Drosophila melanogaster: one gene and its partner. The protein of the gene in region 2 interacts with the protein of the main gene of each other region in a pairwise test. Each region holds a gene or a part of one and is shown on either strand. Other genes may lie near its edges.

Region 1 (15,288 bases), on a different chromosome or scaffold from region 2:
TTTTAGAAAGCAGTAAATACTTGGAAAACTTTAACTGTAACATCGAAATCAAAGACAAATAAACTTAAAGTGCCGACGAATATTGATAGAATTAGAATGCAGCTTAGACTCCCGTTTAATTTTTACAGGCAGCTATCACTCATTTAATTCACTTAGCCGGACAAGTTTGCTTGCATATTAATTATGGCGCAACTTCATTGGTCTCTTGGAACCACGACTGCAGTGTTAAGTAGAAAAGTTTTCCGTGCTCTACTTTTCCCCTTCTCCCAGCTGCGTCCCATTTGCTTTATCTCGGAAAAGTTGCTCCATGACGAGGAAGACTGCAAGACAAACTTCAATGACAAGTCCAAAGTTTGTACACTGCCACAAAGCAATACTTTGGCTTAAATATATTTAATTACCAAAAGGATTTAATTCCAATTTTTAAAATAATTTTTTTCTGGATTAGTACAAATTGTCTGACACAATGTTGTGCAATATTAACTTATTAGGAAATGGATAAGGGTCCTTTCGCTTTTCATAGTAATCTTGCTCGAAACATCCTGATCTTTTATATGAAATATCATACTAATGTTTTGCTACATTGAATTAAATATAATGAAATCCATAATTGTTGATAAGAAGTGAAAGCCATATTTGATCTAACCAATACCTTATTAAACTACTATCAGATTAATTTGTAGACTGTCAAATAAAGAGCATGGCAAATTTACTTAGACGGAGTAAGTTAAGTCCTGTGGTAATAATTCGGTATAGGCTGTCTCTTTGGATTTTTCAAAGTGTGGCTAAAATTAACAAGCCCCACGAATTTTGCCCGCCCCCGTGAATCCAGTTATCCAGTTGATACTCACGTCAACGTTCCCGTTCCACATGTAGTGCATGCCTACGGCGCCAGGATCGTGGTGCGTCTGGCCGGTCATGTGCTCGGCCATCACGGCACTCATCCAGTGGACCAGGCCCTGGGTGGGATTCTGACCCTGGACGCCGCCGATCGGCATGTTGGCAGCGGCGGCGGCGGCGGCAGCGGCGGCCACGGCAGCGGCCGTTGAATTCGAGTTAAGGTTGTGAGCCGGGTTGTGATCGGAGAGGGAGTTGGGGGTGGGGTTCTGGCCGGAGTTATTCTCCTGACTTTTGCACGTGGCAGCAGTGACCGCGTCCGGTTCTGATGGTGGTGACTTTATGGAGCTGCCAAAGTTTGAACGCGTCTGTGATGCGGGTTGGGCTTGATTCAAATTAATTGCGGACACTGAAGTCGCTTGGGTGGCGCTGGCCTCGTTGGGCGGAGTGGGTGGTGTTGTTGGGTGGTTGTTGGTGTGGCCGTTGCTGCTATGACTGACAACCTCGTTGTTGTTGCCGGTGGACCACGAGTAACCGTTGTTGTTGTGCGGCTTCTGCAATGAAAAATGGTTTGTTGTCTGTGTGAAAAAGGGTTTCGTCAAACATTTAAAAATATTGAGTTGGCAAGGCATTGAGCATGAAAAAAGAAACGAGTTTTTAATGGAATTCATACCGTATCGTAAGAGTCGTCATATGTTTCTATTTTCTAAGCATTCCGCCATTCAGTTATGAGATAGGAATCGATCAATACAAATCAAAGGGTTTTAAACATATTAAGATGATAACAATTCCTTATCCAAAGATCCAATGATCGATCATTCGTAATCAATAGGGAAAAGTATTTTCCATATAAAATAATGATAATACTTTTGAGCTCTTAATTACTTCTCAAGTGACCGTATCATGTCGTTTAACTAGTACTGATAGAAACATTTAGTCTCATGCGACAATTAAGTTCTAATTGTGGGGCAAGGACTTTTATTTAAGGGTTACTTCGTGTGCACATGAAGGAAGGGCCGACACAGGAAAGCCTTGTTTTATTTGTACTTATCTGCATCCCAAAATAATCAAAATTAAAACCCTTGAAATCCCATTTATGACCCCTCATTTACTTCCACACATATTCCCATACTAACATTCGGCGTTGGGTTCTCTTCGATGATGGGTTTCTGCTCCTCATGTCCGACGGTTTCCGGCATCCCGTTCTGCTGGTCCTGCTCTTCGAGCTCCGTCTTCACGTGACCATTCTCCGGAGCACAAGCGGTTGCCGCAGCTGCCGTGGAAAACAGCAAGTGGCGACCTGAGGTGGGTGACAAACTGGGGGCGGGACTGGGTGAGGGCGTGCCGGCGTAGAACTTGTGCTGCTGTTGCTGTTGCAGAACGGCGCTGGCGAGCAGGCTTTTGTAGAATTCGGCGGGCATCAGGAAGGGCGAGGGGGCGGATGTGCCGGGCGTGGGCGGACCAAGGGCGCCCATGTAGCCCCCACGCTTCAGCTGATCCTTCAGCATGTCCATGTCCGAATGGCTGTATTTGCCAATGAGTTCGTGCATGACAACCAACTTCGGTGGAGCCCAGATGTAGGCAGCCCTTTTTTTTACTCCTCCAGCTCGACAATTTCACTTTCAAACGGGAAAGCCCCCGCTTACAGTAATGTATCTAACTGAGGCACAGTTTGCTTGATTTTCCACACACACAATCATTTCACGCTGAAAAAAGGGGGCGGAACAACAGCAAACAAAAATTTTGCAACCAAATCTGATGTCTTTTTATTTTGGCTTAACTTTTATTTCATTTTAGATGGCTGGGGCGGAGTGCACTTTAGAAACTTTTCCCCGCTCTTTTTTAGATGCGCACTAAATTGAAACAAATAGAAATGATTTGCCACCAGAAACTTGCCAGCGACGACCTTGAAAAGTTTTGCTGGCTGCCAGTTTGCTATTTTTGGAACATTTTTTTTTTTGATTTTATGGTTGTGCTGCTCGTGATGGACATCTGTAGCAATTCTTTTTTTTTTTGCATATGCTGACCAATTTGTTTTTTTTCAGTTTGATGTTTTGTTTATTGTTTAGTAAACACTTTGTCGGTTCTCATTGTCTCTGCGTTTTGATTTATTTGCTCAGCTGTGGAGTTTTGTTTACTTTTCATCTATGATTGTTTCATTCTGTGGCTGGAGTTTAGGTTTTGTTTTGTTTGTTGCGTTTTCCACTAGGTGGGTTAAGTTAGTCGTCTAGTGGTGAGTTTTTATTCGCGTTTTCCAGCATATTTATTGTGAATTTAATTTCTCATCAATTATTTAAGAGATTATTTTTCGATTGATAAATATTTTATTTATTTATTTGAAATACTAAGTAGATTATTTTATTTGTTAAAAGCGAAATGTGAATATAATTCACTTGTATACTAAATGTAGTTTGCACTGGGTGATAGGAACTTTGCGTTGCAGTTGAATTTTACAATTTTCGGAGTTTACATGATTTATCCTTATTTTTGCACTTTCGTTGAGGATCTTTATTCGTAAAATCCTTTATTTAGCTTCGCGTTAACATGGCTTATCTTTTTTTACTTTTTCACATAAAAAGGAACTTTATTCAATGCCATTGTGGTGTTCAATGACATCCTGGTGTTGGCACTGCTTTGGTATTGTGTATACGCCTCGTTGACCGGTGTTCATATTACGCATACGGGGCTTAAAGCTGCAGCTAACTATGTACCGCAATTTTCCTCATTTCATGCTGATAAGAAAAGATTTGAGAGTGAGTGCTTGCTAGTTGGTCTCCCGGGTGAGCTTGTGTTGGCTCCTGCCCGTCCGGCTGTCCGCCTGTCCGGATGTCTTGTCCGTGAGTCCGTCTACGTCTCCGTCCGTCAGCGAGCGTGGGATAACCTGCAACAACTGAGGAGCCCAACTGGAAGCCAAAGTGCAGCAGCTCAGGGCAAAAGAAAATGGCGAGCGCGCGCGAATGTTTTATACATACAAAAGTCCACACACATACACTCACACACACACACACACACACACACACACAAAACATGAAGGAATATGGTGTGTGTGTGCGTTAACTGAGACTCTTGTGTGTTGTGACTGTTTTGTTGCTCCTCTCAACCTTCCTCCTGCTGCAGTTTTTGTTATTTCTGCCCCTTTTTCATTTTATAATTCCCCCCTTCTCTCTTCTTTTTATATGCACACTGCCCGTTATAAAGACATACATTTGCAGTTTCAGCGCGCACTGCAGCATTTTCTTGTAAGAAAAGCGAAAAATGGGGAAAAATAGAAAATAAAGCTGAATTTGCGCGACATGCGGCAGATCGGGGGAAAACGGTGAGCTCCGGCAGATTGGGTTTCTTTTATACGGTTTGCTCATGTTTGTGATTTTTATTATTTTGATTTCGCCTCGATGTCTTCAAGCGGCGCTTATATGTGTGTGTGCTGCACATCCTATAATAGGTCCTGTGTGCCTGTTTTTCTTCAAAAAGACGTGCTTGCTGTAGGCGTAGACAAGAATAACAACGTTTGGCATATTTTCATATTTGACGGTGCTCGAATGTTAGCAATATCCAAATCTACCTGCCAAAAACTAAAGTATAATTCACTCTGACTCTAAGAACTTTTTAAAATATAGTGGTACTTTTGATATGCTGGTAAGCACGTAAAGAGAACAGAAGTTTCAATTATTTATTACATGTCCTTCTGGGATCAGCTATGATAAGAGTTCTGATTTATTTTATTAGTTGAAGATAAGCATAATAAGCTGAAAAGGATCTTTAGTTCTTTATTATAGTGATCAGATATTATTGATATAGCTCAGGGAGTTCTTGGGACATAACCAAATATCGATAATAGAAGAAAGGGGTAGAGTCGTTTATGTCACGTCCTTGTCCTTAATACTCTGGATGTCAGTAGATTTTAAATATGTACAAATTCATCCCCGACACCAGCCCGGTTATCCTAATTGGAGTTTTTCAGCCCTCGTCATGATGCGGCGCCATCTCGCGTGCGGTGGCCGCAACTCTCGGCCGCAAAAGGACACGGTTACGGACGCGGATGCGGATGCGGATGCGGATGTGGACACGGACACGGACGCGAGCGTGAGCGCGGCACCGCGACCAATAGATTTGGCCAAGCCCAAGCGAACTGAAGACAACGAGAGTTGCAGCCCGCCAAAGGCAACAAACCCAGGACCACATGCAACAATCGCAGCTACTGCGACGCCGACTGCGGCTGAGACGCCGGCCGAGACTGCGACTGCGGCAGAGCCGGCGACTGGTGGAAAAAGGAAAACAGACAGAGCGGAAGCGAGCTCCGGCGACTTATGGCCATGTTTGTTGTACGGGTAAGTAGCAGCAGGAGCTGTGGAAAGCAGCAGCGAAATGGCGCGCGCGAAAAGGAAACTCAAGAAGTAGAGCTCGGAAAAGCAGCAGTAACAAACACGCACACATACACACACTCGGACATAAAAAAGCCAAGTAAAAGCTTATTTTTTTCTTGCACATGAAGCAAAAAAAAAACGCCAGCAAACTGAAAGAAATACATTACAGGCGTCGAGCAAAAAACGAAATAATAACAAAAAGTTGTAAAAGAAAAGCGAAACCGTGTGATGTCCTGGCACAAACACACTGCTACACACGCAGACACACACACACACACAGATACGAGCAGAGCAATATGCCGCGACGACACATCGAAGAAAGGATAAAAACATTCAGCGCTGCCAGCTTCACAGTCGGCGTCGCTGCCTCTGTCGGCGTCGCTGCTCGAGGATGACTGCGGATATATATCCTTCTGCTGCCACTGCCACTGCTCAACTCAGCGCCCTCCTGGCCCTGTTAACATTTCACGAGCGCCAATTTCTTTCCTTCATTTTGTTTATATTATTTCCCTTTTTCTTACTAGTTTTCCCCAGCTCAGCTGAAGCCCGTTGTTTGTTTGTTACCGCTTGCTGTGCAATTTCTCTGAATGATTTTCTATTTTCCGCTGCAATTTTCCCCCTCAAGTTAAGTTTCATCTGTGCGGCAGGGAAATCCATTGAATAATATTCATCTTGTTTGATCCAAGTAGATCAAAGAGTAAATTAAAAGTTACTTATAGATCGATGTGGAAAAGTAGGAGATCAAATCTTATTAAGAACTTTTTTAGTTCTAGGAACCTTGATAGAAGTAATCAATAAAGCTTAAAAATATGTTATTGACACCATATGGACAAAAGACTTGTGTTTTCTATGAATTATTATCTACTTATAATTGTTCTAATACTTATGTAATTTTTAATTAAAATAAAAAATGTTCTTGTATCATTTCAACCTCAATTGGATTGTATCAATTTCTTAAGCCATTGTTCCACCATAATTATATATATATTCTGGAAGACCTTTAATCTATATTGAGATAGACTTTCTAGCAAACGCTCGTCTAAGCCGATTTGCTTATAAGAAGTACGAGGGTGCAGTATCAGGACCCTTTAAAATGAGGCAGTATCAGCATGGAGGAGTTGCATTTGCAGCGCAGCCTGCGTCGCAGTCGGCGTCGGAAAAAGTGCAAGGCGTCGGATGGCGTCCCCAAACTAAATCCTGTCCAGGAGCATATGTTTTTATGTGCATGTGCTGGATGCTTGGCTTGTTTTCTTTTTATGTTCAAGGATTTCCAGCTGCCCTTTGCTGGCATTCACGCACACACATATACACATGGGCTTGGCTATGAGGGCGAAATGTCCTGATAAGCGTAAGGAACGTGCGTCCATTTTGCATCGCCAGCAGCAGAAGGAAATGGTTTTGCCCTTTAAGATGCATTAAAAGCTCAAAAAAGGTTTGAAAAAAAAAATGGTTTCTTTCGGGTAATTGAAATGTATTTCTCGGAATTTCTGCACACGAGAAACGCATATAAGAATCCATCAATTTATAACGAAATATAAGAAATTTTGAGAACTTAAAATTTTTAAGATATTATTTGCTATTCAATTAAAAAAATCAATCATATTTTGAATTCCTCGAATTACATATTTTATTCCACAGGCTGACATATGTCCTTAAACTTCACAGGACCACCTGTTGATTTGCATTAATTTCCTTTCATCCACTTGAAGCCATCAGTCAATCTGCATTAGACTGCGAAAAGCTTTGTAAGCCAGGCAATTATGGGATATCCTGTGCACGAACCAAGCCGACAAAAAGTGTCCTTTGGACCGTCTGAAAAAGCGACGCAAAAGCTTGAGCGTTTTACCATTAAAACCCACTCGAAACAAGAGATCTCTCCGTTTTGCGGTGCTCTTGCTTTCCCCGAAGAGAGAAAGAGAGAGCTCTTTCACTGACGCTCTTCGAGTTGGGGGCGTGTTTGTTTTCCTGTTTTTTACTCGCCTGCCACTTGTGTTTGTCGGCTTTTTGCCCTGCCTGGCTTTTAAGTGTTATTGGATGATTTTATGGAAATTGATTTGGAGCACGCCCACTTTCGGTGGTGAGAGTCGAGCCAAACAAGTGCAGCAGCTGCTCCAATGGGGATGCTAACCAGTAATTTGACATAATAACATTATCCATACACTGCTATAAAATTGGCTAGGAAACGGCAGTCGGATGGCTAAAGCATGGCAACCAACGGTGAGGATTAAAAATATGAGCTTTGATTTCTTTTAACTATTTTTTTTTTATTAAATAACGCCTAAAGTGTTCATTTATTTAATAAAAGAAAACATTTATCAAATGGCTACCAATATCTTAAAAGTGGATACAAAATGAGTAAAACTTAAAAAAAATTATTATTCGATATTCATGTCACTAAATTCAAAGAAGTTAGTTTTGGGTAGGTAAATTTATCCATGTTCAGGAGTAATGACCTTACACAAATTTTGCACTTCTTCAGTAGAATTAGAGCTTACTTCTACTTAAAAAAACGATTTATTATTCAATCGAAGATGTATCATTAGGATCATTATTATCTATCTGTGTTTTCGATTATGTAAACGGTCTGAGATCTCAAAAGCTAGAAGATTTCCTAATTTGGCAAGCAGATTTAACGTTTGCCCAAGAATACAAGCTCTCATACTAACAAATGATAATTAAAGAAACGGTTGTATCAGTATCATTAATGCCTATACAATAAAAACAACGTAAATGTTTTATTTTATCAGCTAGATAAAAGTTTCCGTTGCATTCAAATTAAAGTACTTAATAGTGTTTATTAAATAAAATAATACCAGGTCGTATTCATATAATATATTTTCATAATATTGTAAACTTTTTAGTGCGCTTACTCGAAACGTGTGTTCCACGGGGCAATCTAGTCCCAGCGCGTAATCCTCAACGACGGCTCCAAGCGAAGAGGGCTCGCCAAAGACCTGCTCGATCTTGATGGGCGGACTGGGCAGCAGGGGCGTGGCACTGGATCCTCCGACGGCGACGGCAGCAGCCGCTGCAGCGGCGGCGGCGGCGATTGCAAATGAGCTCTCGACAATTACTGGCGAACCTTGGCCGCCGGTGTGGCAGACGGGAATCGAAACTGGAACTGAAACTGGAACTGGACCGTTGCAGGGCGTTGGCGGGGCCGTGCATGGAGTGGGCGTGGCCGGGCCCTGGACATGGCCATCGTGGTAGGGCGTTACAACGAACGAGGGGTACGAGCGGAACTGGTGGTAGTCACTGTGGCCGTGCGAACTGTTATGCGGATTCGAGTGAGGATGGTGCGCCAACTGAGGTCCCTTGTACCAGGTACCATGCATAATCATTTAAGCACCTTCGATTGGCGGTTGTTCAGGGCGTTATTCTAATTAGTTCCACTTGGGGGTTCGCTCGGAATATCTATTTTACGTTTCAATTAAATAACGCGCTATTTAGTTTAGTTTTGTTGTTTTGTTCACTTTTTGGGAAATCGAGCTAGATGCGAATAGTAGGGAAAGAGTCATGTGGTTAGAAAGCAACTACTTTCGTCTATCCCTGAATCGGGAGTGTACTGAACCCAATAGAAAAGAAAGCTGGGATTACCTAGGTAAATAATATTTAAGCAGAATCGTGATGTGAGCAATGAGTTGCAACCGATTTGATTTCATAAATAATTTTAAAAAATTTTTAATTATGGAATGTTTACATAATAAACGAAAAATTTATGGTTTCAGTTTACAAAATAAAAACGGTATATTTCCATTTGAAGTAAATTTTGTTATTAATCATCACCGAACTATAATTTTACTATAGGGACATATGGAAATATATAATATATTATCGATTTAGGCGGAAGCTTTAAATATATTTAATATATATACTTTTTGGAACAGTTTAACTTGTGTTTGTATAATTTTGTAACTAGTTTATCAAATTATTGTTAACAAGTATCTTAAAACTTAATTCCGCAAAATGGCCTAAAATAAATATTTTATTAGGCTAGTCTTTTCTTGCTGCTGCTGCTGGGACTTATAGAATGACTTCATTACTTTCTAACCCCATTCGATATCTACTCCTCAGAGTGGCTCGTGGAAATTCTCGCAATTATCGCGTGTAGTAAGTGGATACTCCTCAATATATTCGTTCACTTGCATTCACTCAGCTGATCAGCGGATCACAATAACTATTCAGGGGAGCACTGAAACACGTTTATTACGGCCTCGATCGCATTGACACTTGACCAATTTCGACCCTTTCGAGGGCCTGGCTTGTTTTTTACCGACTCAGACGACGACGACGTGTGGTGATAACAATTTGCGAGTTCACTCGGCTCGATTTTTAATTATGATACCGCGAGCTGGGGGAGCAGCTGCACTTGCGGAATGGCGAAAATGCATTGCACTTTGCGACAGAATTCTTCGCGGATTGGGAGACGCGGGCAAAAAAGACTGCAGACTGCGGACTGCAGAACGGAGAGTGCAGACTGAGGAGTGCACTTGGCTGGAACGCGCGCGAAAGTGGCCAACTGGTGGACAGTGGCCGAGTGGCCGGCCGTTTGGGCCAGGTTTAGTTTGGCTTAGCCTGGCTTGGACTTTGCCTATGGCTTTGGCTCAGCAGAAGCGGCAGCAGCGAGCAGCGCAAAAAGTAGCTGCCAGCTCGCAAGAATTCCGAACTCGAATGCTGAGTGCGGCCACGAAAAAAACATTCAAATGCCTCGCACTCGCCGCCAAATCGCAGCATAGCTGCCCTCTCTGTCGCTCCACTCGCCCGGTCTCTCTCTCGCACTCGTGGCTGGCACGGCTTTGGGGCAGACGGCGACGCCTGCGCAACAGCTTTTTACTCCTTTTGCTCCAAAAGCAGTGGCAAAAAGTGGTTCGCTCGCTCTCTCCCTCTCTCACGCGGCCTCTCTCCCTCTCTCTTCGGGGCGATGGAAAAAATTGTTTGTGGTTTTTCCTGCAGCTCGCTTTTTGCTACCGGGTCTCTTGAGCAACTTTGATTTGATTTCGGGCTTTTTGCCTGAGTGGCTTTTCTTTTCTCTTGACTTTGAGCATGAATGAGCATATTGCGAGTTGCATGCTGCACGTTGCACGCTGCTCGTTGCGCGGCGAACGGTTAATGCGGCACTCCGTTTTTATAGCTCAATCTTTATGGTAAAACACGGGGGCGTTTAGGTGACGAGCAATGAAGGTTCAAGTCCGCCACCGAAGACGGGTTAATCAAAAGTGTTATCAGGAAAGTGGTTTCCATTTAATTGCTTAATAACGTTTTATTATTTTATTTATTGTCTTGTAAAAAATGTAGTTACTTAGTCTGCAATTTCTACGTCTCTCCTCTGCCACCATGTACAAATGAAACTTGATTTATTTACGTTTAAAATTTTCCTTTTTTAAATTTTTATAATGCAAATTCCACACCCAAAATGAAGATAGGAGCATACATTCGTTCCGATCCCAAATGCATAATTTTGCGCAAGAGACAAACGCTGAAATGACAAAAAATCACATCCGCAGACCATTAGCCCATTGACCAACTTCGATGGCGAACCACGCGTAGTAATGAGTTTTTAATACATGTAATATTCAAATTAAAAATCCGCAAAAACTACCAAAGTCAGTGGCAAAAACGAAACACGCTTTTTTGCGGCTAATAATCACACATATTCATTTCAAGCGAAGCGATGATTCGGCGGCACTGAAAAAATTCCACTCATACGCAGCGTTGGCCAAGCTCAAGAGCAAGCAGGGCAAAAGCGGCGATGCGCTCTTAAAACAAAAAAAAAACCATAAAAGCGGGCAAAAAAGAGAGAGTGCGAGCGTGAAAGAGAGGGTGTGAGTGTGAGAGCAGGTCGACACGAGGGTGAAGGCGGTGGAATTTTTATTGGAGCACTTGGTTTATTTCTTTTTTCACTGCTCGCCCCTTGACTGGCATCTTTTTGCTTGTGCTTGCCGTTTTATATTTTTTGTTAATTTTTCTTAAGTTTTTTTTTTTTTTTTACTCCTGACAAGGCATTTTTTATGGGTACGGACATGTGTCGCCAGCGGGTGGGAAAATGGCAGCGCATTTCGGCTGTGACAACTGCAACTGCCATTCCTCGGGGAAAAAGGTCAAAATAAATGAAATTAAAATGCAAGTGCTGCGCGTTTATTTAGTTAATCAATGCAATTGGCACATCCACCTGGGGACTGAGAATTGCAGTACTGCACCAGTAGAGCAGTATTGCAGCTATGTTTGATCCCAACGGCAACGATGTAGCTGGCCTTTCCTCACTCAAATCACTGGGAAATGGCTGCGTTTAGCCATCGTGGTTTTTCCGACCGACTGGGAACCTAATGTCCAGCAGTTTCCCGTTCGGTTTATCAGCTAATTTGATTATTTCACCTGCTAATATGGCTCGCCCGCCGCAATTGCATATTTTTTATGGTCTTCCATTTGTCGGCTGCCATTTTATGCGCTTTCCGTGCCGCTTTTCATTTATTTGAGTGCAGCACAAATTTCCTTATCGCATTTCGACTGTCGCCGCTCTTGTTTGCACTGTCATCAATGCCACTTTGTATTTGCAGACGACCAGCCATTTTGACCGATGGATTCAGATAACTTTTAGCACTTGGAAAATGATCAAAAAAGAAAAATAAAAAGTTTATGTGTTTTTAAGAAACGAAAAAATAACAAATTTTATTGTATAATATATATTAAATCGGTAAATCCTAATTATTTATTAGATTTTAAATCAAAGTACGCTATTTGTAATCTAGGTATTTGACAAAATTTTTGAATAAAGTTTGTTAAGTTATTTTTAAATAATTTTTCACGCAAACGTTTTTAATGTTTTTAATAACAAATCCAAGCCAAAGTGTCATGTAAAATAATAGATCGCGCCTTTTAAATACCTTCAGCCAACAACGATGAGATAGTATTTAAATAAAGACAACATAACGACATATTATACCAAACGTACATATATAATACAAAATTGCATTTAAATTATTACGTATTTATACCCGTTACATGTAGAGTAAACGGGCATAGTAGTATATAACAGGTATAAATATATATATTCTTATATATATAATTAAGGCTTAGAAGTTGAGATTAGTCAGGTAGATTCTACGTAGTGCAAGATGGTTTTTGACCGTTGATCATCCCAATCCACAAACGCCCACAAAAGCTAACGACACTCTTTTGAAAATTGTTCTGTTTTTTTTTTTTTTATTTTAATACATGTTATTTCATGCCAAAAACATTTAACGCCCGCAAACCATCCGAGCCAGACTTTTGTAAAATATATTATTATTATATTATTTTATTATTCTTCCTTTCAATTTCTTACGAGATTTCAAAAGAAGTTTGAAAAGTTTTTCCCTCGCGCTTCCGCCAGCTGAGTGGCGGGAATTTGATAGCCGAGAAGCTCGATTATAACGTCAAGCTTGTTTTAAATGAATGTACTAAAAACTGTTACATCAATTTTTAAATACTTGTTTATTTAAAACATTATTTATTAAAAACATTCCTTGTTTATATAATTCCGAGGTATCCAAACGCAGAAGCAACATATTTTACATTTTGATGTCTTTTCAAGTTGATGTATTTTCTTATCCAAGGAGCTCCCATTTCGTTTACAAATCTCAAATTTCTTTTGAAATATACTACAATTTTGTTTTCCATATTTTTATGTTCAGGATAACTTCTTTGGATAACACAGTTGCACGATCTGGAAACAGAACCGCAGTGCCGCAACGCAATGCAAAGTCCGCAGTTAGTCAGTTGCATGATGGCGCACATTTATCGCCGCAAACCGCAGCGGAACAGATAACTGATGTGGCTGCAGATGCTGCAGTGCGGCGCCACCGCTTCCAGAAGCCTCCGAGCGAAATGTCAAAATGCCAGCCAGAAAGCCAGAACTCGAGATGAGATAGTGGCAGAAGCAGTGGCACCACAAACAGGGCCCAGATAGCCGTCATGCTTGGTCATGGACGCCAAATGGTTGACAGACTCTCCCGACAGCTGCAATGGCGCAGGGGCAGGGTTTGCATGTGGCTTATGGCCAGGCTTTGGGCCTCTGGACGGGGATCAGGGCTCGGGGCTGAGGGCTCCCGACCAAGTTGCATCGGGGGTCCGGAGAGGCTCCGCCTGTTTTTCAACCGCTTTTTGCCGATTGGCCAGAACGGGTTGGCCGAGTGCCGCAGAGCGAGACAACAGGGCGCATGAGCTATGTTCGCATGGAGAGCGAGTGAGTGGCCACCAACTGAATGGTGGCTCGAGTGAGACGGAGTCACTTGGCTGCCGAGTGGAAGTGGGACAGAATAGGGCTTAAGAGTAGGCTTAAAGCCAGTCATTGACATTGGCTCTCTTTTGGCCACACTCTCTCTATCTGTGGGCCAATTCTGCAACACGTGTTGGCGTGTTGGTCTGCGTGCAAAATAACCGAGTTTTTTTAGCCGCTCATCCGACGCGTATTTTGTTAATTTAATTAAACAAAAACGTTTTGTTTGTGTTTTTTCTTCATTTGTTGCTGCGCAAATGGTTTTTGCCCTGTCGCCGAGCACAAAATGAAATTGGAATCGCGCTCGTGCACAACTTTGAATATGTTGAGCTCTCTCAAATGGCGGCTGCCACCGATATTTCTGCTTTTGCTGTCGATTTTTGCCGTCTTTTGCGACATTTGCGCTTTTTGCGGCATCTTGTTTCCCTCCGATTGCAGTACATGTTGTATCTGCCGTTTAATGACTTGCGCCGTTAAGTTTAAATTGAAATATCACACATTTGACCACGGCAAATTGCTATTGTAATTGTCAGCTGGGTCTCACTGAGCTTTGGGAATTTATCGTATTTTCGAGTGCGGGAACATCAAGCACAAAATATAAAATATTTTTTAAATATTTTCGTTCGCTTTATTACAGCTGAAAAAAGGATATTGGTATATGAATTTTATAGCTATCTTTCCGAACTTAAAAGGAAGGAATAAGGAGTATTTAAGTCAGCAGCTACTCTATATATTTTTATTAAAAATCGATTTAATTGTATGTATACCCCATAATCGCTCTCAGGCATTTACAGAATCTGCTTGTTGAATCATAAATATATTGATCTTATACGGACGGCCATTGTTAATAGGACTCGGCTAGTGGACCTAGCTAAGAATAAGGAATAAGGTCGAAAACGGTCTTTGCTACCCGTAACATCCATCTTAGCAAACGTACTATAATCTTTTTCTCATAAATATAAATGAGTACTAAGTACCAGTTCATGCCTTCATCTTAATAACGGAAAAAAGATCTAAATAAAATTTTTTTTAAAACTAGGTTAATTTCCAAAAAAATAAGACAACAGGTAATTTGTAAACGGAAGTTTTTCCAGCTTTAATTCGGAACTCGCATGTTTGTCGGCCAACATTGTAACTGAGAAAGTTGGAAAACTTCCGCACGTGACTTCCGCGACTATTGTCGATCGGCCTGATGATCCCAGTGGCAATTGAAGGGGCTCATGTCCAACTTGGCTGTCAGCCAGAAGAGTTAACGATTGCAGCGGTAATTGGAGCCAAGTCAGCCCGTCAAGGCGTAGGCGATTAAAAGGCGATTATTTCAATTTTAGCCCGAGAAATAATGATGCCAGTAGATGGATGGATGGAAGATGCTGCCCAGGTAGGTCTTGCGCTCGATGAAAAAGCAGTAACCTGTCAACGAATTCGGCGTAGCTGTTATGTTAATGCGCCAAAACCGTTGACATTTATTGGCAGTTATTTATGGCGGACACTTCGCGCGGACTCTTGGCGGACACCATTTTTGGGAACAGGCCATTTTGGTGGCCAGCACTGCCCGACTATGGAAAATTCTATAATTGTGCAGGTGACAACGCGAGTGGCACGCGCTGCTGACGCTGATTAGAGGCAGTTGCACCTGCAGCTGCACTCGCCGCTGTGGCAGATACTTCATCGCGAGTCACGCTCGATTTTGCGCTGGCATATGACCATAAAGATATTATTAATTATGACAATATTGGAGTAGAAGTGTAAGCACCAAGCCTAGACCCTGAAAAGGAAGGACGCGATACTCCCTCGAGAATTTAACATTGTGATGCGATCAGATGTTAGAATACA
Region 2 (15,603 bases):
TCAAAATTCTTTTCAACTTGAAAATATAAGCATTTTTTTTTTTGCTAGTACAAATTAATTCCACTCCTCAGCGGAGGATAATAAATGGTAATGAGAAACCAACTGGTACGCGACACGCAGCCAGGAACAGGATAATCATCGGGCAAGATAAGCAAATTGACGACGGCCATGGAGCATTGAAGATACCAGCGCAAGTCCGCGGCCCCACACAACGTAATTATTTCAATATTTAATGACTCTAAAAAATCAAAAGGAGCCTATGCTAATGACACACTCACAAAAAAGTTGGAGCTAAATGTTAGCTTAGTTTAAATGTTATGAATTCAAGTTATTAATATTAAGCCACTCCTAAACAACAAATTTCTTATAAATACTCAAACTCAATTCCATCAAGAGGTATATTCCCAAATTGTATAATTTAAATTAAATTTCCAGAGTATGGCATATTAACAGACACAGGATTTTTTCTGAAGGACCTCGGACCCACGCAAAGGACACTCACCACGGGCACAGGTATCACGCAGTAGACGCAGGGATGCCCACCAACAGCAGCGGCGGCGGTGGCGGTCGGCAGTCCGTAGGCGGCGCACAGATGGTGATCCGTCTTAAATATCTTTGTTGGCGGCGGCTGGGCAATCAGCGACGAGGAGGTGCTGGAGCACGTGTACAGCGTCGTGGTGGTGCTGGTGGTGTTGCTGCTGCTGTTGCAGGTGTTGCTGTTGCAGTTACTGCTGCTGCTGCTGCCGCTGCTGCTGTTGCCGCTTTTGCTGCTGCTGTTTATGTTGCTGCTGTCGCTGCTGCTGCTGCTGCTGCTGCTTGTTCTGCTTGTGGTTTTGCTAGCCTTTGCTGCGACTGCTGTTCCTGTTGTCCCGGCAACACTTGTTGTTGTTGCTGCCGCTGCGGCTTCCTGTGGTGGTGGTGGTGTTGTTGTTGTTGTTGCTGGTGGCGGCGGCGGCGGTGGTGGTGGTGTTTGCTGCTGCTGGCTCAAGGAGCTGGCCTTAGGATATTTAGCGGCTGGCTGTGTTGCTCCTGCGGATGTTGCTCCTTTCGATGTTGCTGCTACTGTTGCTGCTGCTGCTACTGTTGCTGCTCCTGCCGCCGCTGCTGCTGCTGCTGCTACGGATGTTGTTGTTGTCTGGACAACTGTTGCCACCAATTGGCTGACAGCTGCTGCCTTAAATTCGCCGGACTTTTGCTCCTGCTCCTGCTGTGGGTCCTGTTGGCTGAAATTGGCTAGCTTCGATGTTGCTGCGGGCAATGGCGAGGTTTTTCTCTTGATTGACGCAATTTTAATGGCTAATGGTGAGCAGGTTTGATTGTAAATTGATTTCCTGGGCTTGCGTCGGTTTTTTTTTTCCGCCTTATTATTTGCGACTATCTGGGCCTTTGTTTTGAAGTTTTCCTATTGATTTCTTATTATGAAGAACATTGACTAGTTTGCTATGCGATTTTATATTGGCTAAACACTGAACACTTATTTAAGTTGAAATTTTATTTACTTGATTTGCAGTTACTTAAGCACACACATCGATAGACACAATTATTTTCGTTTTTTTTATTTGTTTTATTCAAGCTAAGCTTTTTCAACTAATTTTTGGTTTTCTTTTTTTTTTTTAATGGCAATTTGCTAAATCTTTTTCACTCACAATTAAGCTAGGGTTTATGTGTTTACTTTTAGGCTAGAGTCACAAATTTAATTTGGTTTTTTTTATTTCAACTTTATTGTCTCTATTTATCGCTTAGAGTGTGTTTTATATATTTCTTATTCAAAATAATACTGTAGATCTTTGCTTTGGTGTTCACTTCGAAGATTCCTTTAATATTTAGTTAATTTCTTTCTTACTTTCAGAGTTTTTAACCCTTTGTAGTTGTGCTTTCGTCTGACTTTAATTAGAGTTCTTAGTTGGCTAAGATTCGTAGGAATTTTCGCTGACAATTGTTGCGCTGAGAGACTGGAATCCTTGGACTACTTTGAGTAGTGAGTTCTTGAGCAGAATATTTGGTGTAAACTTTTTCGATTTTCACGCCTTGTAAATAATACTGAACTTCACTTGCACTTTACACTTCGCGGTTCTCTCAGTGGCTAATTATGTATAAATATATTTGTAAATCATGGACAGAATGAACTGACTTCGACGCAGATTACGTATACGCACGGAAAAATGGAAATATAAATATATGTATGTATATATTTAATGCAGAATCTTGCGGTATGGCTTTTAAAAACTTTTTCTATTTCGAAAAAACACAAAATGGCGAGCTTGCACTGTGTTGAAAGGATGTGTTTGCAGGACTCCTTCGTGAACTCCTCGCTATTGGCTATTTGTTAATAGTAGGATTTGGTTTTGGGCTTGAATTTGATATTCGATTAGGACTTCGATTCGATTTTGGCTTCAGACTTGGCTGTTGGTTGTCTCCGGCAATCTCAGTGTGCTTGGGGCTCTGTGGTCGCTTTCCGCTTTTGTGGTGCGCAAAATGAGGAAAAGGCGTTTGTAACTGAACTTGACAATCGTCGAATGGATTCTGAATTTCTCATTGAGTAAGGTTTTTGAGTAAGGCCTCAGCTCAGCCTGGCAGATTCGTTTCGGCTTTCCAGCTTCGGTTTTCCCGACTTCGTGTCCTCAAATGCATTGGGGAGCCGGCAAAATTGTTTTCCAGCAACAGGATCCACAAGCCGACGCAGGCGCAGAACTCAAAGGCGTTTCGTATGCCATTCAGCACTGCAATTTCAGTCGGAGTTGGAGTAACATATATCCCCATCATTGCCGTCTGGTCAGCAGGAGCTTGCTCAATTGAAATGCATCCCAGCCTATATGGTCGCAATTACCTTAACAACTTCGGCCTGCTCTTGCAATTGTCAACATTGAATTTAATCACAAATTACTACGTGACCAAGCTCACAAAACTTTTTTTATATAAGAAATATAAATATTTTGTGTTGCACAAACTTTTTAGCGCACAAACTCAAACACTGTAAAGTTCTTTCTCGAAACATTTTCGGCTACGAAACTCAAATAGAAAATGCCAAAGAGAAAATTATACGCGGGTATGAGAAGGGCAGGGATAACAAATTATTCAGGTAAAATCCAAAACTGGGGTAGGAAAAACGAATCAAAAGAGTGTAAATGATATTTCCTTTTGGACTCTGCAGGAAAGTATTTAATTTCCTAATTACTGAAGTGGGAAATAAGAACTTAGACTGACAAGTCGGAGAATGCCGAAGGGAAATATTTCGTTTTCTGTAGCTTCTAGTTTATCAAACGGATTAGTTTAAATGACAGTTGGAAAATGGGAATGCACAGATTCAACTTTGAAAGAGCTGAAAATATGTAAATAATGAACAAAATGGGAATTTCAATCAGAATTATAAAAAGAAAAATCCTAAAGCTGGAAAGTGCGATAACGGAGTTTTCCTAGATTCTGACATCCTCTTGCACTTGCAGTTTTAGCTACAGTAAAAGTCATAAAGAAATGATTTTGTTTGGCCACTCAAACTTTTTGAAAATTTAATATCCAAAACTCTCTCCAAACTTGACATATACAATTTTTAGCCATAAAAACGCGCCCATTTTCATCACAAAGTGCGGTCCAAAGTAATTTTAAATATATATATATATATATATATCTTCTCTTAACTCCATAAACTTCAGCAACTTGCCCGTTTTCTCTTTTATTTATTTACTTTCCTTTCTTCATTTTCCTGTGTAGGACACAAAATGCGAAATATAATTTTCATTCCAGCCACAATAACTGACGTCGACTGAGGCGCTGACTAAGCGCGAATGTTTACAATTTTTGCCGTATTTTCACCACCCTCAACAACAAGTTTTTCTTTTTCCCAGAATTTTTATTTTCATGTGGTCCGCCAGCGTGTTGTTGTTGCTGCCGTAAGTTGAAAGCTGTTTAAATGAAAGAACGTTCCCGTGAAAAAAAGCCAAAGCAACGCCTGTTGGCCATTAGAGGATGCCAAATAGATGTTGCCTACAAAGCGAGCACACCTGGAGGGATTGCAAGGAGTCTGGTGAGGGGATTGGATTGGGCTACCTAAAAACGCAGCAAACGAGCAACATCAGCCCCAGATTCGTACCACACACCGCCCCCATCTCTTAGTATTATGCCGCAGAAGCTTTGAATAGTTTATTATATGGCAAACATATATACAACATATACACCAAGAGAAATTGGAAAAACCGGTGTAGTAAATATACTATATCGTAGATATTATGGTTTATTAATTAGATTTGTTTTTTATTTTAACTTTTTATTGATAGATAAGATCGTATATAAAGATCCCTTAACAAATTTTACCATATCGTTTGCTGTGCATTCGTATAACACGCAGGTAAACCGGATTTCGTCAGTTGAGGAAGGACGAAGGGTACTACTTACAAATGTTGCCTTTGTGCGATTTCCATTTCATGCTTTACATTTTTTTTTCCATTTTTTTCATTTTTTTTTTGTGCGTTGCTGATGCTTAGAAAGCAAATGCATAAATTATGATGGAAATTACACAATGCACAAAACATTACACCCCCTTAAAACGTGTAATACCATTGAAATTAGCAAAAAGGAAATCCAGCTAAAATGCTCCTTTCTTTGCTGGCCAGTAATGATTTTTCAGGTATAAGGATAATGTGGCACTATTGGCCCGATTCTCTCATCGAGAGATTAGACTGCCTGCACTGCAACTGTCAGGAAATTGATGGGGAAAATGGTTAGAAGAAATCCATATCATTGCCAGGCCGTGGCAGCCGCATCAGCGAGAGCAATTTTCCACTCAAATGCGTACTCGGTTCCCTCTGGTTTCTCGATTCCCACAGTTTTTCCCCCGTGATTTTTCACCCATTTTCGTCCCGCATTTCCCGGATTTAAAGGACGCTGCGTATGACACATGTCGATTGCAGTGGCGCCCCCTATCGGCCGCAAGGCAAAAATGGCGCCTTCTATGTGGAAAGAAGCATCAGAATCAAAAATCATCAGCCTGAGTCCGATTTGAATGAGCGATTGAGTGAGTGACTGTGTGACTGACTGAATGACTGACTGGCGAGAGTGCGACCGAGTGAGCCGTTTGATTGCTTGATTGATGCACGAAGCTATTGATTGATTGATGCCTTTGTTGATCTCTGATTGCTTAAATGTTTGCCCAACACTTTTTTTTTAACAGGCTATTTCGAATTGCTTTCGAGTTTCGAAGGGGTAATGGTGACTTTCTACGTTTTAAGACTTAAATCATTTTCGTAAAACTGTACACTTCAGTTAAATAATAGATATTCTAATATTGTCTGTATTATAAAGATGCAATATGTATTTGACTTACGTTTGAATAGTTCTGGGATCTCGGAATCTGCGGCGGCAATTGCTGGGCATTCGATGGCCCCCTCATGCTAACGCCTCCACCTCCCCCGCCGCCCTGCTGCTGGTGTGGCGGTCCGCCCATCTGTTGCTGTTGCTGAGGGGGCGGGGCTGGGCTGTATCGTGGGTGCATTTTTTCTAGTTTCTTAATAGCACTCTTAAATTGACTTGTGACTGCGAAAAGGGGAGTAAATGAGATAATGCAGATTAGAAAGAATGAGTCATAATTGTAAATATTCTATAATCTTAAGACGTTGCAGATATAAACATTTGCATTAATTGGAGATACAGTCTTAACTAGACCCCATTTTTTATACAGATCAACTGCTCAACCTAAATTAATTATGACAGTTTGTTTGTAATTAATTAAATCATTATTATTATTAAATAATAAAACAAAGATTATATATTTTAATGTATAAAATGAGGTCAGTATTTTTTCTGCTAATTAAACTTTTCGTCTATTTTTCTACCACTTTTTTACAGCCCAACCCGTTTGCTCTGACTGCCGCACGGCAACACTGTTCTCTGCACTCTTCTTTCTCTCTCCCACTCTCTATTTTTATTGCTTCTTTTTAGCATTCTGTGCCATATTCAGCTTATTTTGCCGTGCTTATAATTTGTTATTAATATTTCACTAGCAACTTTGTTGATTATTATTAGCACCACCCGTCTTAAATTGTTTTTTTTACTTGCAACGGAGCATTCAGCGAGTTATTTTAGCACTGTTTCTGTCTCTTTCCCGCGCGGCAGTTGCAACATTTGCATTTTGGCATTAAAAATAGCACACAGCACAGGCCAGCCAATTTTTTTTGGTTTGCAAATTTATTTATATGCCGCCAGACAGCCACAAACACACAGGAACACACAATAATTTATTGATATGCGGAGGAAATTATTCAATTGTTTTTACGCTATTGCTTTTTATCAATTGCACTTGTTGTTGTTGCTATTTTTTGTTATTGCTTATTTAAGGACAATGACAGCAAAATAGAGAAGGAGAGCGCAGTGCACAAGAGAAAGAGAGTAGAGAGAGAGAGAACAAAGAGCGGGTGGAAAGAGCACCGGCAAACAACAAGTGAGCAAAGCAAAAGGTGAAAAATAAATTTGCACTGCGATAAGATTTAAATAATTATTGCTCTCTCTCTCTTTCTCTCATTTGACTTTTTCGTTTTTCCCAGTTGTATTATTGTTTTTCGTCTGCTGTGCTGTGCCGTTCTTATTTTTGTATTTTTATGCCATTGCTTTATGTATTTTTTATCGAGTGCATTGCTCTAAAACAACAACATTCGCTTTCAATTAGCTGAGAGCCGCAAATTTGTTGCTTTTGCCATTGTTACGTCTGCTTTGCGGGGCTTCCAAAGGTAGTTTTTCCTCTTGTTCGATTTGCTTTTGGATTTTAGCTTTGCCTAAATGTTGCTTACTTATTGAAATTTCGTTTTATTGCTGGTTTGTCAGCTGCTGATGGCTCTTCTTCTTGCTTCTTGTTGCACGTTCTGTTTTTTTTTTGCACACAAACACACGCACTCACAGTCGCACAAACACAACACACACACACAATCTCACGCCCACGCACACTATTTGCACTTGAAAGTAATTCGACTCGTTTTCGTTTCGATTTTTCGCCCTTTTATTTTGCTGTCTTCGTTATTTGTTTGTTGTTCCGTCACGCGTTTTAATTTATATATTTATGCAAAATATTACAACGACAAAATATAAGTTTGCGCAGCCGAAAAAAACGAAGAAAGCGCAACGCGACAGCAATCGGCAATGGTATGAGCTTCTTCTTCTTCCTTTTCTGCCGGCAATGCTCTCTTCGCTCTCTCGCTTAATTTACAGCAATCTACAGTAGCGGAAAATAGTCTAGGTGCGACTCATAATATTAAATATTTTCTTTTACTCTATGTAGTTTAAACATTGTGTAAAAAAGAATTTTCAGCGGCGAGTAGCATAATAATAAAGGTCTTAATAAAATAGCACAAGAACTTTAACTTCGGGTTGGATATGTGGCCGTGTAGCAAATATATTCTGTGTACATACTCCTTTTTCCGCTACTGTATATATTTCTTCTCTTCAAATTGTACTCTCTTAGAAAATTTCTCTTCTTATTGCCTCTTATTAGCTTGCGCTTTGCTGTTTAACGAAACTCTTTCGGGTTTCTACTGTATTATTTATAACAATTTTATTAATTTCATGCATTATATTTTTTTTATTTTCTGGAATAAAATTCAAGATTATTAATTAAAAAATCGAAATAACATTGTAAATATTCGAAAATATGCATTGCATACAAAGTTTTCGTCATTACATTTCGTCACTAATCAAAAATAAAGATCCGATTTAACCAATTAAAATCACCATTTTAAAAGCCTATTTTCAGTGCTAAGTTTATATAACTTTCCTTTTTCAAATTTGATACACATGGTTGTCAGTTTTCCCAATCCCATTATATCAGTTCATTACGCAAATGGCGCAAAATAAAAAAAAAAATAAAATAAAAACGTGTGCACCAAAAACTGTAAAGCCAGCAACAGCATCTAGTGTGTTATTTTGAAATATTTAAATAAAATTAATATTCTCAACAAGTGCGTCGCATAAAAGGGCGACACACACCACACGTCCTTCCGCCCGCTTTTCACCAACCACCACCCACCGCCCCATAGCTTTTGGCACATAACAAAGGACTAAGGGACTAAACAAATGATGCATGATGACGACAACGAAAAATAAGCAGATAGGGGGTTAAAACTGAAAAAATCGAAATGAGAGCGACTCCCACGCATTGTAAAGCACTGCCACGCCCACTGCCCACATAAAACCCAACCACTCAGACAGCAGCGGGCGAAAAAATATAAACATTTAAACTTTTACGGCGACTTTGATTTTAAATATATATATATATTTTATTTTTATCCAGCTTGATACATTTCAATAGATAACAACTTTTTTTTACAATTAAGCTTTTATATCTAATTACTTGACTCGCGACTGTAACATCTCCAAGTATAAATACATATATGAAGACAGCCTGTACTGCCACTCCCACCGCCCCATAAGCCTACAAACAATAAATTTGCAATAGCAACGACAAAATTTGAAGAATGGGCCAGGACCAACAAACAAGAAGCAGCATCAGGAGCAGACAGAAAGGACAATACTCGAAATGAAATTGGATGGAACAAAAAAAAAATGTTAATACAACAAAACATGCAAGGAATTTAAATTTATCTTAAATATGCAAATTTACTGACACTATCGAGATATGCAAATTTTCCAAAGCAGCAGCGGCAGAAAAACAATATACAACAAAAATGAAGCAAGAAATCAACGAATTTTAAAACAGTGAAAACTGGTAAAGAAAGTTAAATAAATATGTATACCTAATAATTTGGACATCCAAAATTTTGAAAAAAAATTGTACTTTATTATATTATTGTTTGTCCCTGCAATAATTAACTACAACCTTTAAATGAAATCTTTCTAGACAACAATAGAGAAACTACTGTATCTGAAAAATGGGCCAAGAAATCAAAAAACGCCAATAAATCGAAAGATGGGGCAGATAGTAAAAAAAAAGAAGACAGTATCTCACGCACAGTGGGCTGAAACACTTTCGTCTAAAACGCATGAAAAATAACATATTGGTAGAACGGGAAAATGGCATGCAAGATGGATGGGCTTGGGGGGTGGAAAGTTGCCAGCGGATCGGTGGAGGGGGGGAGGGGGCGTGGCAACAGCCTCTCTGCGGCCAAAATGACGACGCGTTGGTATTTTCATTAAGTTTGGCACCATTTTCCTTTTGTTGCCCACTCCAAAACCCATTTTTTCCTACACTGCCTGCCTGCCTTTCATACATAGTTTTTCAGCTTGCGTTGGTAGGAAAATTATTGATATTTTTTAGGATGTGGCTTAAAAAATATTTTTGTTTAGTAAATTTAAATGTCAGAAAATTAATAAGTTAACTTACCCGTCTTTCAGTTTTATTGTTTTTTATTTTATGAAGTAAGAACATTAATTTATTTGGGCTATTTGCAAAACAAAAAAACACATACTTTATATATGATCCACATTGATACAATGTAGACACATTTTTGCTCAGTGTAGAGTTTCTTGGCCACCGCTTGAAGCGAAAAAATTCTTGTCGCGCAACAGCAGCAAAAAGGAGAAGTAAGGGCTTTCGGGGGAAGCGAGCCATAGGGGAGGGGGGCGGGGGCAACGCTGCTACGTGACCGTAAGCAATTTGCAGTGTGGGCGAAAAGGCCGGAAAAGCGGCGAGTGAGGGGGTGGCAAAGCAAGTGGAGGCGATGGGGTGCAGTGGGCACTCCTCGCTGCGTAATCGCATCAAGAAAGTGAAATGTCAGCTGTTTCCATCATCTTGGCGCTGCGCCTCTGTCGGCATGTGACTGCCAGGAATTCAAGCTAGTTAAAAAATAAAAAAAAAAACGATAGAATCATGGAATCTAAGGGTCTACAGGCCAGGAACTACAACCACTAGTTTCCCAATGGAATGCATTGTATAGGTCACTGCGTAAGGACCAAAAAAAAACAGAAAAAAACAATAGGGAAAACTACAGAACCAGAGCAAGTGAAGTGTACGAAACGCTTTTGTTGGCGCGTGATCTAAGGATAATTTATGACTCGCCCAAGGAGAGAAATGTGCGCAGGCAGAGGCAGAGGTTGTCACAGGACACGACTGACTTTCAGATAAGGAGTGCTCAAGGCGAGCTCGAGAATTTAAATTCAATCAAACTGCAGTCGGTAATTGCTCGGCCATGAATGGCTAGCATCTCAGTTCAAGGTTTTCCTACGCAGGAGGTGGGGAAAAAAACGAGGATATCATATAAAATATGATTTATCACTTATACAACTTGTTATTCACTTTAAAAATCCACGACAAACTGGTATTATTACACACATAATTATACAAGAAAACAATCCCCATCCTTATTTCCAAATTAAATGCCACCATCGATGTTCTTCGCTTTGGTTGTCGATACCACATTAATATGTTCACAAATACACATCAAAGAACATCCCCATATTTGCAATATATTACGTTCATAATCCATTTTCGACCGAGCAGACATTGAATGTCATTGGTGAAATTAATTTATATAAAATGACATAGATTTAATATGCGAATGAAGGAAGAATATTGATGTTGGCTGGCCCATTTCCCTTCCTCCTGCTCAACCATTTCCGCGTAATTACCTCGACGGGTGTGTGTGTGTGTGTGTGTGTGTGTGGGGAGAATCCTAGGGAAAAGGCGGAAAAGCGGGAAAGCCATGGTGGAGCAAAGCCAAAATGGCGGCGTCGCCGGCATCATCATTATCGCCATCATCGTCGCCAAGACATCGTTAAATTAAATCTATTGTCGACGCATTCAATGTGCATATAAATCATTTATGATCTTTCAGCCAAATGCAACAGTCGAAGGGCGCAAATGTAGACATTACAACAATTTATTATTTAATTATCTATGCCGCAAAATTTTCACTCAAAGGCCGCAAACACAGAGCTTCAGCCATCCGAAAACCATAGTACAAACATTAAAGTGCACCATCCACATACACACATGGCCACAGTGAATATCCCCTTTGAACAAAAGAGCCAAAAACGAAGACAACTGGGTCTGAGCATTTCATAAAATTTGATTACAGTGAATGCGTAAAGTTTACGACCAAGTGAAGGGAATTAACTGAAAGTGGCAAGGCGCTCAAACGCACACACATGCTGCGGCGGCATCTGCGGCTTTCCTTTCCTTTCCTTTCCTTTCCTTAACTCTATGTCAGGGGAATACCACGCCCACTTTTCCGGCCCCAGTGCTGCAGCCACTCGTCGGTCCCCGGAAAATCCATTAGGCGGCAAATGAAAATGGTTCTTTGGCATCGTATCTGCCGATCATAATTTTGTTGTTAAAGCTGCAAATGTTGATTATGATTAGGAATTTTGAAAAATACTCACAAATATTTATGGCTATGCGGATAAGAGGGAAACATTTGTTGTAATTTTTATTGATTATGTATATTATAAAAAATATATCTGATTTTTTTTCTGGTTTGTCCTTCTCTTAAAGGTTTCTACTGTTTAAAAGTTTTTGCAGACTGATTGATAGCTTAATAAAAAAAACTTCCTAAAGGCGTTGTTGCCATTTTTGGTATACAAATTGTTTTTTAGCTCCTTGAAGACCAACTTCATTAGTGGATGCTGCCAGACTCCTGTCCAAAGTTGGGAAAAATCACAGCATTTTGGGTGAGTGATTGATCTGCAAAATGTGTGGGCCAAAAGATACTCAACTGGCTTAAAGGGAAAGGCTTATAAACTAACTTTAAACTTCATTAAGCTACGATGAAGTATTTTGCCTGTTAAATAATAGCAAAAAGGGTCACAGCCTTAATATATTATAGCATTCAGTTATGATGTATAATTGTTCGTATCATTGGGCTAATCATTCTAACTCATTCATATTTAACAACTAATTCACAACTTAAATAAACCATCTAAGCTTATTACTGATGTACATAAATGGCATTAAATTAAAGTTCTGACTTTCGTTTGCGAAATCTGCAATTTTTAAGTACTTAATTCTAGCTAGTTCGCCCTGAAATCGGCTTATTGTTTTTGGCATAATTCTGTTGTTCTTCCGCAATTGAAGCTGTCAAAATGTTGATAACTCTGTTACAGTTTTCGGTTTTGGTCAAAATCCCATTGGATGGGAAAAAAAAGTGGTGAGTAGGAAATTTCCCACGCAGCGGCGGCAAGCTGTCGCATTTTGACAATCTAATCTGCTTTGGTATTAATCCTTTTTGCCACAATGCTGGGCAAACAAACCTCCCTTTATCTACCCATTTACTTCTTCTTCAACCCACTTTTGTAGGCAATATTTGCGGTCGTAGTTCTATTATCTCTCAAGTCCGAGGCCGCAATGACTCCAAATTGCCGGGCTGTAGACCCCGCAAAATGTTTCAGCCGGCGAACCACAACCCTCTGCATAAACCCAAAAACCACACCCCTCCCCCCCTCCATTTTCCGGGGGCGCTAACGAGCTTTAAACCGCGTAAACATCTGTGCGAACAGAAAACAGATTCGGACTCACATTTTCCGCTCGCAATCGGTAAAGGATAGTGCCTTTTCCTTGTTGGCTGGTAAAACCCTTTTCAGGACATCACTTCCAAAAAAACAAGGAAAATTTATCCTTGGCGGTGTTCGTATATTATTTTCTTTCTTGGGCTAAAATTAAATTATCCTAGAACAGTGACTGGGAACCAGCGATTGCCTACTGGCTGATTCGATTAGACCTAATTTGATTGGGAATTCATTTGAGTAGATCTTGAATATGAGCTAGATGACTTTTGTACACAGAAAAAAAATAGTAAACCACATTAAGAAATGTGTTTATTAACAGAATAAATGACTCATTAAATTATTATTACAGGATTGTAGCTTTGGAAATCTTTTTAACAATATAACTCATTACGATTGGTTTTATCCTTTTTAACTATTTTGCTATATAAATGCGTAAATCTATTGATATTTATTTTGTTCTATGTGGACCTAAATCCAATCCGCTTTGCTTTCACCCTAATCGGGTTATTAATAAGCATTCATTAGCCGGCGGGCAGGGCAATAAATAAAATGCCATCTATTATGTACAAACGATTGCATTTCCAGCCAAAACAATCACTTGATTTATTAAATTTATCAAACAAAAAATGGCTATACCGGAATATATATCACTGGCCACTTGAAGCCAAGCGTTTCGGGGGCTGTTCGTGTATATATATATATATGTATATATATTTAAAAAGGGCCTAACTGCGTTTATCATGCGCCACAGGACATTGCCCACAGTCACCTGGAAGGAGGCAAGAAACTAACTACGGTCCCCGAAATCTTCATGGAACCCCAGCTCTCCAGCATTCCGAGTGTTTCGCTTGGCTGGGCAGCAAATGTTCCATGCGCCGAAAACGCTCCGAATAATGAAAACCAAAGGCAAAAAGAAAAAAAGCCAAGGAAGTTCTGGATTGAAAAAGAAAGGACGAAGTTACAGGCCTCGATGTACTCAATAAATAATGGCACTTTAAAACGGTGGTGTCTTTCATGCTACCCACTTTATTTACAGCTGTCTCTGGCAATTTCATTCTGACCTCAAAGCTCCCATATATATATAGTCCTTGTTAGTCGGTGCTAAGTATTTTTGACAGGACATTCGTGTAATTTAAAGCTGCCCTACCCTTGGCCATTTTAGTTGTCAGCTTTGTTAGTTCCAGTGACAAAGCCGTTTTGTTCTGTAGTTAACGTAATTAAAGATTACAAGTTAAACGAAAGCTCGGCTTAGATGGGTTTAAAAACTTGTAGTTTGCTGGACTAATTAAAGACGATGTCCTGACGTTAATACATATCCAGAGACGATGGAAACTAAAATGCTGCAACAAAATTACCACGCATAAGCCACAGCTTGAAATTATGTTTGAAAATTGAAGATAAGTGAAAAGAACTATCTAGCCCGAAATGGGATTAACTAAAAATTTAAGATTTTATTTGCGTATACTTTGCCATGATTTCAAGAAATCTCTCCGCCACAAAACATTTGCGAAAGTTTCATTTGCAAACGTTTGCCAAAATGCGAATTTCAATTTCCCCCGCCAAATAGATCGCAAAATGTTGCGAAAATTAATATTGCCTCGTGTCCCGCCCAACAGTCGACATAAATTCTTCGCATTTGAACCATAAATAAAATTCCAAAAATTCCGAAAACTGCCGTTGACCCATTTAAGGATGCCCCTTTTTGTGGGGCGGGCAGCCCATCTAATTACATACGTTTTGCGGATGAAGAGAAGGGGGAGGGGGGGGGGTGAAAATAAATGGCATGTGTTGACCTTATGCCTATGACCCCCAAATAGATTATGCCAGATGATATGAAATCTGTAGCCCAGCCAACTAAACGGAATCCTTTGCGAAATGAAACGAACTCAACTGAACCGAACTGAGTTGAGCGGAACAGAAAATGTGCAACACGCGATGAGCATAAATTGCAATTCCAATTTCCGGTTTCTGTTTCAAATGTCGCACGTTTCGCCCACGCCCCCTGGCCCCACCGCCCATCAATTTGGACGCTCCTCTGCCTACAGCCACGCCCACGTCGCTTCCTTCAACCCACACCAACACACACAGCTGCCGCACAGTGCAGCGTTGCACAATATTGTTGCAATTCATTTAATATATACGTTGCTCGTAGGTTACTGGGCAATTTTTTTTTTGGGTTTCGTAACAAATGTGTGACATTCTCTTAAGTAGCAAAAGGTTCTACTTGTTTGAAGCAGGCAAAATCAGCAAAACAAAAATATGTTGCCTACTTTTAGACGCCTTAGAGAATCCTTTCGCAACATAACAACAAAAACTATTAAAAAATTGTTTTCGGTTTTCATTTCCATTTAAGGCGCTTAGCCTATCGGTGCAAATTTTGAATCGAATTTAATTCCCTCGAAATGCAATGCTCATTTTTCTAAGTGCCATGTCGCTGCTGCAATTGTAGTTCATATATATATTTAACCGCCTAAATACTGTTTGGCAGTTGGTGCGATTGTTGTTTGTGTTGTTTGTGTTGCTGCTGTGCAGTTGTTATCGGCAGCAACCAAATGGCGGAAAATGCAGCAGCAGCAGCAGGGAATGAAAATGAAATGAAATTGACGTCAACATTTTGTTTCTTGTGTTAGTGAGCACCGCGCCCACTTTCCCAACGCCCATTCTCAATGAGGGCATTACAAGCTGCTTTTGTTGTTGCTGCGACTGCTACAAATGGTTATCGAACAACAACAGCGGCAACAGCAGCAGCACCAGCAGCAACAACAAATTGTTGCAGTTTTTGGCTGAATTACAACGAACATTGAAAGAGCATTTTGTAAGTCGCTCCATCTACTGGTTTGGCCACATTTTCCCCCATACCCTCGTTGCAATATTTATACATAGTTCACTTTTCCACTGCCCTGTTTAATATTTCATCATTAATGTTTTCCCTTCGCATTGCTAATTGCCATGCAGCTTGTGTGTGTGTGCGTGTGTGTGCTAATGTGCTGATAAGTAGTACAAGTAAGCCACCCTTCTTCACCTCTTTTTTCTAGAGTATCTTGTAATAACTAGGAAAACATTTGCCACCCAAGAATGCTGTTGCATGCCTTTTTGTTGAATTCATTAAATATGATTTATTTGCCATGATTATTACGCCTTTCTAACAAGTATGTTGAGAGTATC

What was found.
Region 1: the proteins of shep (region 2) and rn interact in a two-hybrid assay, tested with the Drosophila melanogaster proteins (one large-scale study listed by BioGRID).

The regions. Positions count from the first base shown.
Region 1 is NT_033777.3:7,299,786-7,315,073, forward strand, and holds the start of rn (rotund), read right to left. Parts: upstream 9,845-15,288; 5' UTR 9,245-9,844; intron 8,691-9,244; 5' UTR 8,543-8,690; coding exon 8,072-8,542; intron 5,170-8,071; coding exon of another isoform or gene 4,807-5,169; intron 2,449-4,806; exon of another isoform or gene 2,388-2,448; coding exon of another isoform or gene 1,974-2,387; intron 1,392-1,973; coding exon 852-1,391; intron 1-851. Other genes in the region: CG42544 (uncharacterized protein), read left to right, coding at 4,807-5,169. UniProt on the Drosophila melanogaster protein: Transcription factor involved in imaginal disks development. Isoform rn is required in the wings, antenna, haltere, proboscis and legs disks, while isoform roe is required in the eye disk.
Region 2 is NT_037436.4:5,270,838-5,286,440, forward strand, and holds the start of shep (alan shepard), read right to left. Parts: upstream 7,108-15,603; 5' UTR 6,777-7,107; intron 5,527-6,776; 5' UTR 5,486-5,526; coding exon 5,318-5,485; intron 2,498-5,317; exon of another isoform or gene 503-2,497; intron 1-502.